Linked DNA regions of Elephas maximus indicus. The protein of the gene in region 2 purifies or fractionates together with the protein of the main gene of each other region. This does not show direct contact. Links are inferred from orthologs where the notes say so. Each region holds a gene or a part of one and is shown on either strand. Other genes may lie near its edges. The genes, in order: SH2D4A and PPP1R7.

Evidence for each region.
Region 1: the proteins of PPP1R7 (region 2) and SH2D4A purify together in Homo sapiens (affinity purification with mass spectrometry; 3 studies listed by BioGRID and IntAct, counting the BioPlex papers as one, with this or other methods). This does not show direct contact. The link is inferred for Elephas maximus indicus from reciprocal best matches to the Homo sapiens genes PPP1R7 and SH2D4A.

What each region holds. Positions count from the first base shown.
Region 1 is NC_064840.1:56,716,374-56,720,277, reverse strand, and holds the start of SH2D4A (SH2 domain-containing protein 4A), read right to left. Parts: upstream 2,674-3,904; 5' UTR 2,253-2,673; intron 2,083-2,252; exon of another isoform or gene 1,914-2,082; intron 1,690-1,913; exon of another isoform or gene 1,603-1,689; intron 1-1,602. UniProt on the Homo sapiens protein: Inhibits estrogen-induced cell proliferation by competing with PLCG for binding to ESR1, blocking the effect of estrogen on PLCG and repressing estrogen-induced proliferation. May play a role in T-cell development and function.
Region 2 is NC_064824.1:143,066,793-143,070,696, forward strand, and holds the start of PPP1R7 (protein phosphatase 1 regulatory subunit 7), read left to right. Parts: upstream 1-1,159; 5' UTR 1,160-1,244; coding exon 1,245-1,296; intron 1,297-2,815; coding exon 2,816-2,944; intron 2,945-3,904. UniProt on the Homo sapiens protein: Regulatory subunit of protein phosphatase 1.

The DNA.
Region 1 (3,904 bases), on a different chromosome or scaffold from region 2:
ACTCAATGAGATGGACTGATACAGTGGTTGCCACAATGGGCTCAAGCATAACAAGGATTGTGAGAATGGCTTAGAGCCAGGCAGTGTTTCATTTTGTTATACACAGGGTCGCTATGAGTCGGAATGGACTGAGTGGCACCCAACAACAACCACATGTGATATAATCTAGTATGACGCCATGGACACAAGTGGAGCCAAGGTAGAGGAAATAAAAATGAGGAAATTAACTAACCAGGGTTTTTCCCACTTTCATTCCCTGATATGATTCAAACAACTCCTAGTTATTCAAGACTAATAAAAAGTTCAACTAACTTGGTTTTTTTCTTGTACAGCACTTGTCCTAAAAGACAGAAAAGATAAGCAATAAGCTCACACCTACTATGCATTTCAAAAACCAATTTCCAAAGAGTCATAGGATCAATTCAGTCTTCCATAAAGTCCATAGATTTCATCTGATTCTCCCATCTGCCACAGCCGCTGAACCCCTCAAAGATTCCCCCCCAAAAGGCTGAAACAGCCTAAATTATAAAAATATTGTGGTATGAGCAATACAATTTTAACGTTATAATAGAGCTTTAACTTCTAATTCTTTGAAAATAGCCACTTCCATTTTCAAAATTCCCTTATCTTGTTCAATCTGTAAAGGGGCTGCTTTTGAGGACAAAATGAATTACCAGAGAGGACAGCAATTTGGGAAGTTGTTTTATAAGCATATATCAGCCTTCGGAAATTTGAATTTACTGCAACACAAGGGTTTACCTAGAGAATTCCACTCATGACAAATCTATGGCCACATTATGCCTTCCACATACTTATTCACTTTTAAAATACTTGTATCCAATAATTGTAACAGGCTTTTATGAGGTGAGGAGAATCTAAGTTTAGAGACAGGTGCAAGGGTTGCTTCCGCCTCGAGACCCTTGATCAAGGAGACACAACGCCGAGCAGAAAACCTACAAACCGTGGTTTCTCACTGCGTCTCCCAATTCCCCTCCCACCTCTATTCAGACTTGTGCGTGGACCCCGAGGAAAGGAGCGCGGCTGGAGCGGGCAGGGGTGCCCACCTGTTTGAGGAAGGCCACCCGGAGCACACTGGCACCGTGCCTGGCTCTGCCTTCCAAGCCGGCAGCCTGTGGCCCACCTAGGCCAGGGAGGTGGCGCGCACCGATCCCACGTGGCCGCGCCCGGGAACCACTGCCGAGTAGGGCGCCGGCAGAAACAGTTTTCCCAGCCCTCAAGAAATCTCCTCGAGGAGAAAGTCAATATGGTGCTATAGACGCGGGGTGTTTGTTCGCACAAATGTGGCGGTGGACGTCATAAGGTGGACGGGTGACCCAGAACCAGAGCGAAGAGCGAGAGAGACGTGGCTCCCCAGCACCGTTCTACTGCTGGAGTCCAAAAGCTAGGGAGCGCCAGATCCTCCCACGCCGGCCACCCCGAGGCGCCCCGCCTGCGCCCGGTGCGTAATCATGCGTTGTGTGCTCACACACCCCTCGAATACACGTATCACCCGCCGGGATCCCCAGAACTTCCCCGAAGGCCTCCCCCTCTAGCTTCACCCCTAGAACCACAAGCCCCCGGCCCTCCGGGGCCGCTGCTCACCCAGCCGGCGGCTTCGGACACCCGACACCTGACATCTGACACCGTCCACCAGCCGCCGCCGCTGCGCTAGCCGCTCGGCCCTACACCTGAGCGCGCCCGGGGCGGGACGGAAGGGGGCGGAGGAGGAGGGCGCGCGGCCGGGACCGAGGCCTCGCCCCGACCTTCCTCCGCTCACAGCCCCACCTCCCCTCGGTCCCCGGGCCTTCACTGTCTGGCTCGAGAACACTCCGGACACACGCACACGCACACGCACACACACTTCTCCCAGGCCTCCCCTTTCTGGTCTGCTCCCCCCCCCCCCCAGCATCTACCTGTTCAGGGCACTGGGATCGCGTGGGCAGGAGGACCCCAGCACCTGCCACGTCTAGTTGGGCCTCCAGAAGTTGTCGGGAAGGGAGGCAGGGAAAAGCAAAGGCGCCCGCGAGCTTTACAGACTGGCTGGACAAACACTCAGGCGGTGATGTTGGCAAACAGCGTCCCTCAGCCCTGGCCCGCCCGCGCTGCCCCACCCGCGGCCCACATGCCCGGCTGACTGACTGGGCACTTGGGGCCCCACCCGTGCGCCAGGAGAGGCTCCAGTGGAAGCTGTCAGCGAGACTTGGCTGCCTACTGCATCCCAGGCAGGGCTTGTCCTGCGCGCTGACCCCTACCTGCTGTGGGGTCCCTTCACACTTCCACTCCCAGTTAATTGGAGGTGTCGTGTGTAGTCTGTGATGGCTTGCCACGCCATCTCTCCGGTCCTGCAGAACTTATTAATATCAGCAGGTCCAGCCTCTTCTTCACTCCGAAGTTCAGGGTTTCTTGCAAGGAGGAGTCTGCAGAGGCCCAATAGGCCCTTCTCAGTTACACTGACCGGGTCCCGCAGGCCAAGTTGGCTCACCCTCCCGGGTTCTGTTCTTGCGTCTATGGAGCTTTTTTTCCTTTCTTTCTTCCTTTGTTTTGTTGACAGTAAGTAAATTACCAAACTCTCAGGCACTTGTAAGTAAGTACAGGTATGGCTTTGTAGAACAGGCTCCCAAAACAGAAAAGCTGGGAGGATGGAGCCTGAAAAAGAGAGAAATGGAGACGAAATGAAAGCAAACTGGAGAAAAGGAAAGGAAGTAAAGGAATCTTGTGAATGCAGCAAGAACAGGTCAGGGTGGTGCGTGAGGACACTAGGGAGGAGCTGACAGACGACTGGAAAAGGGAATTTTGGAGGGAAGTTCAGCAGAAGCACAGTGGAAAGATTATAGGGCATTTTGGCATGGCACAGGAACATTCAAAGTGTGTGGAGAAAAACCGCCTGCTTTGATGAACCCTAATTGCAGGTGTGTTGGGAAGAGATAAACAGTGAACACTCAGTTTCTCCTCCCCTGCACAGCCTACCTGATACATTCAGGAGCCAGGCTTGCCTGGTTCAAAAATAAAACTGTTTCTCATTTCTAGTGTCTCCGGACTGAAGAAGATTCTCAAAGTTAGAGTCTTGGGCAGGGGCAGATGGGCAGAGAGCAAATCCTGGGTATTGTATGGAAAACATGACCCAGCTGTTTAGGAGCCCATTCTAGGAATCCTATTTGGGGAGAATTTCTGGCCTGATTTGGTTCTGTTCCCACTGCTTATTAAATAAATGCCCTGGCGGGGGGCGGGGGGGGGGGCTTTAGGCTGGAGTGTGATTTGCCAATGCTTAGCTGATGTGGCCAGCTCAAAATGAATCCTAAAACTTAAGGATTTTGAAGTTTTTTAAAGGGTGGTTTATCAGACAGTAGGACACTGGTTAAAACCAATTACCTTCCTCCACACTAAGTTTTTCTCCATGGCCTGACAAGTCTCTCTTTATAATAACTGTCTCCCTTTGCTACCAATTTTACCTCAGTTTACCCATTGGGATAATAGCAGCACCTATTGTATTGAATTGCTGTGACAGCAATAATACATGTAAAGAGCTTACAACAGATCCTGGCAAGTGATAAGTGTTCAAGCATGTTAAATCATATTATTCCACACTAAACCGAAAAAAAAAAAAACCAAACCCGTTGCCATGGAGTCGATTCCAACTCATAGCAACCCTACAGGACAGTGTAGAACTGCCCATAGAGTTTCCAAGGCTGTAATCTTTACAGAAGCAGACTGCCACATCTTTCTTCTGAGGAGAGGCTAGTGGGTTTGAACTGCCAACCTTTCGGTTAGCAACCAAGTACTTAACCACTGTACCACCAGGGCTCCTTTATTACACACTACCAAAAACCAAACTCATTGCCATCGAGTTGATTCCAACTCAAAGTGACCGTATAGAACAGAGTAGAACTTCCCCATAGGGTTTCTA
Region 2 (3,904 bases):
CCCCGGCCGCGGGGGGCGCGCAAACGGCCGCCAACCGAGGCCCGCGCTCCCGGCCGCGGGCTGGGGGTCCGGCTCGTCGCGGGGCAGCAGCGAGGGCTCCTCGCGCCTCGAGCCCCTCGGCCGGCGCTTCCGAGCAGGCCCCGACCCGGCCCGGAAGGCTGGCCGCCTCAGCCCGCTCCGCACCGCGCGGCGGCCCGCGTCCGGCCCACCGGCTAATCGGCGACGGCCTCGCGCCGATCGACAGGCCGCGCGGGCCAATCACTGCTGCCGGTGGGCGGGACTCAGCGCGAAGCCCGCGCTGACGGTTGCTAAGGGACGCGCCGGACGCCCGCTACGGCACCCCGGAGAGGCCAAAACGGGCGCAGCGCGTCCGGCAGCCCGGCCGGCGCCGCCGTCTCCCGCGGCCTCCGGGTGCCCAAGGCTGAGCGGCGTCTCGTCCCCTCGGAGACGTCGACCCGAAGACCGGGCGCGGGGGCGGCTCCCTCCTCGGCCGGGGAGCGCAGCGGAGCGTCTGCCGCGTACGCCCTCTCGACCGCAGAGCGGGCGCGCCCGAGAGGAGACCAAGTGGGGTGTGGACGGCGGCCTGGGGTCGGCCTGCCTGCCTGACCGGCTCCTCCGCACCTGCACACCTACCCACCTGCCCGGCGCCTTAACGAGCGGCGACCCCTTCGCACGCGCTCCAGACGCCCAGAGAAAGTTGTCTTCCTGCCGCTCGGCCCATTTTACAGATGCGGCCAACGAGGGTCGCAGCAGCCGGGGTCCGCACTGCGCAGTGCGAGCCCACGAGGAGCTGCGCTCGGCCTGAGCCGTGGCCCCTCTGCACCTCGGTGGTCGGGACGGGGACATGAGCCCGGAGCCTGGAGCCCGTGCCAGAGTCTCCTCTCCAAACTGCCCAGACGCCCTCTCCGTTCGCCGCCCGCCACGGCTCCCCTCCGCCCGCTCCTCGCCTTCCGGCGCGGCCAGCTCCAGTTACCTGCCCCGGGGAACCCGAGGCTGGCGGCGCCCGGCCGTGGGCGGGCTCAGCCTCTTGCCGGAACCACAACTCCCATGGAGCGCCGGTGCCGAGAGCGGACTCGGCCTTTCGGAGGAACTACAACTTCCAGGAGGCGCCAGGGCTGCGCAGGCGCGTCGGGGCGCAAGCCGTGGCGCCGGGCTCCCATTGGCTGGGCGCCCTCTGCGCTGGGAGCCCTGATTGGCTGAGGGCTCTGAGGCGACAGATTCCGGAACGGGGAAGAGCAGCCAACATGGCGGCGGAACGCGGCTCGGGGCAGCAACAGTCGCAGGAGATGATGGAGGGTGAGTGGCCTCAGCGGGCGGGAGGCAGCAGCGGGCCGGCGTTGCCCCTCACCTGGGAGAAACTCGGCGTCTCATCTCCGGCCGCGGCCGCGGGGCCCCTGACAGCTGCCGGCAGGCTCGGCGGAGCGGGTGGACTCCGGCCCCGGGAGAGTCCCGTCCCGGGGGCGGCAGCGCGGGGCAGGCCCGCGGGAGAGCGGCGGCGAGAGCTCGGGGCCGGCGGGTGGGGACGGAGCAGGACGCGGTGGTTCACTGACCGGTCGAAGGTTGACAGGCGGAGAGCGGTCCGCGTTTGCTAGCGGGGAAACCGAGGCTCGGGGCTGTGTGACCTGCCAGAGTCTGCCCCTTGTTAACGGGATGGGGGGAGAAGGGTCCCCTCTGGCAAGCGACTGAATTGTGGCGAAGGGATGACAAGGAGCCGAGGAGTCGGAAGATTGAGTTTTAGAAGGCGGTGTCAGTTCTCAAGGCTTTCCTAGTTCCGAAAAAACTAAATTCAACTTCTTTTCTCCCCTTTCATTTTGATAGAAAACATTGTTTTTGTATACACACGTATACAGACGCACAATCGGGGAGTCAGTCATGTCTTTGCTTGCATGCTTTTGGCTTTGGTAGGTTGTGGGGTAGGAGAAGAAAGATCATTTCGGCAAAGGAAACCACACAGCCAAAGACAAAGGGGTGTAAAAGAACGTGACCTGTTTGGAGGAGAGTGTGACTTGGGGTGACGGTCATATGTGAGGAGTGGCAGGTGGTGCCAGGGAGGGACTTAAACCCCATTTCCGTCAGGTCGATTCCAACTCCTGTGAGGACAGAGTAGAACCGCCCCATGGAGTAAATCTTCAGGGAAGCAGACTGCCACATTTTTCTCTTGTTTAGCAGCTGGTGGGTTTGAACCACCAACCTTTCAGTTAGCAGCCAAACACTTTAACCACTGCACCACCAGGGGTCCTTTGGAGGGCACATGCTTTATTCATGAATTCAAAAACATTTATGTGCCAGCCTTTGGAAGCTTTGAGGCACTGTCCTGTGTCCACTGGCATCAGCATCAGTGACCGTCCACAGGCTTCTCAGTCTCTTAGCTGCGTTCTTCCTTTCCACCAGCGCTCTTGCCTGCCCATAGTCTGATTTGAGGCAGTCTTGATTGCTTTCAGAATTTGGACCTGTGAACTGGGCCACCTTGCTTTGCTGGGGCCACACAAATAGGGAACCAGATGGAGGCTGTACAGGGTCCACAAGGGTCTCCTCTGCAGCAGGCATCCAAGCCCAAAGCTGGAGGTGCACAAGGTGCCCTGCTTTGTTACCATGGGTACTCACTTTAGTGTCTCTGGCCCCTACCCTCAGCTTGCCCTGCCACTGGACATGGGGCTGGGACATGGACATGGAAGACACTCATGCTCATAGTCCGAGACTGAGCAGACTGTCTGCAGAAAGTCCCTTTGCTCGAGGACCAGGTGTGAGTCTGTCCTGTGTCACTCAGATTTTCAAGTGAAGTGGGCATGATTTCTCACTGTGTATGTGGCTTCAGTCGACAGGCGGGTCGAATCCGAGGAGTCAGGGGATGAGGAAGGGAAGAAGCAGAGCAGTGGCATCGTGGCTGACCTGAGCGCTCAGAGCCTGAAGGACAAAGAGGAGCGCAGCGAAGAGGACCCAGGAGGTACCGGGCAGGCAATGGCTGAGCTCGCCAAGGGGGGTCGGGAGGTTTGTGACCCTGGGTGAAGAGGACCCGAAGGTAATGGGTGGGCGACAGCTGAGCTTGCTGAGGGGGTCAGGGGAGGTGTGTGACCCTAGCTGAACAATACCTGAAGGTAACGGGCAGGCGACGGCTGAGCTTGCTGATGGGAGGTGTGTGACCATGGGTGAAGAGGGCCCAAAGATACTGGGTGGAGTGGCTGATCTCGCTGACGTGGCTGAAGGGTGTGTGACCCTGGGGAGGGCCACCATGCACCAGGACTGGAGATGTGGTTCCCAGGCAGCATAGAGAGCAGGTCCACGTGCCCTGAGCAAGCCCACTCCCTGAGGGCATCTGCCAGTGGGGATGGAGGCAAACCACTGCAGTGGAGATCTCAGTGCTGGTGTCTCATCAGGCAGAGCCAGACATAGTTTTATTAGGCAGACATTCAGAAAGTGAGGCTTGAAGTAAGCACTACAGCTGACGGCTGTGCTTTGAAGTTCTGTCATTGTGAAGTAAACTATTTTCAGAAGAGCAGTTTAGCATCTCTGAGAACTTATATGAGTCCTGCCTCCCCGTTTCTGTAGGCCTGAGGATCGACTCTGCGTTGCCTAGCTATTAGGAAGATCAGTTTATGTGGAAAATGCCCCAGTAGCCTCCTGTTGTTTGTGATTGACAGCAACAGAAGAAATGTAGAGATAAGTCCTCAGTCCATGACGGTGGTTCTCAGCCCTCCCAGCTGCAGCCCAAACCTTGTTTTTTGTCATTTGCTTGAAAAACCAGTATACGCTGAGCAGAGTAAGAGAAGCCACACGATACAGAAAGATGTCCAGGATCTGATATTAGTTGAAAAGAGCAAATTTCCAAACAGGATGCATGTTAAAATCTTATTTTTACTTTAGAAACAATAGTAATAACATGTAATTTTACTTGTTTAAGGGAGAA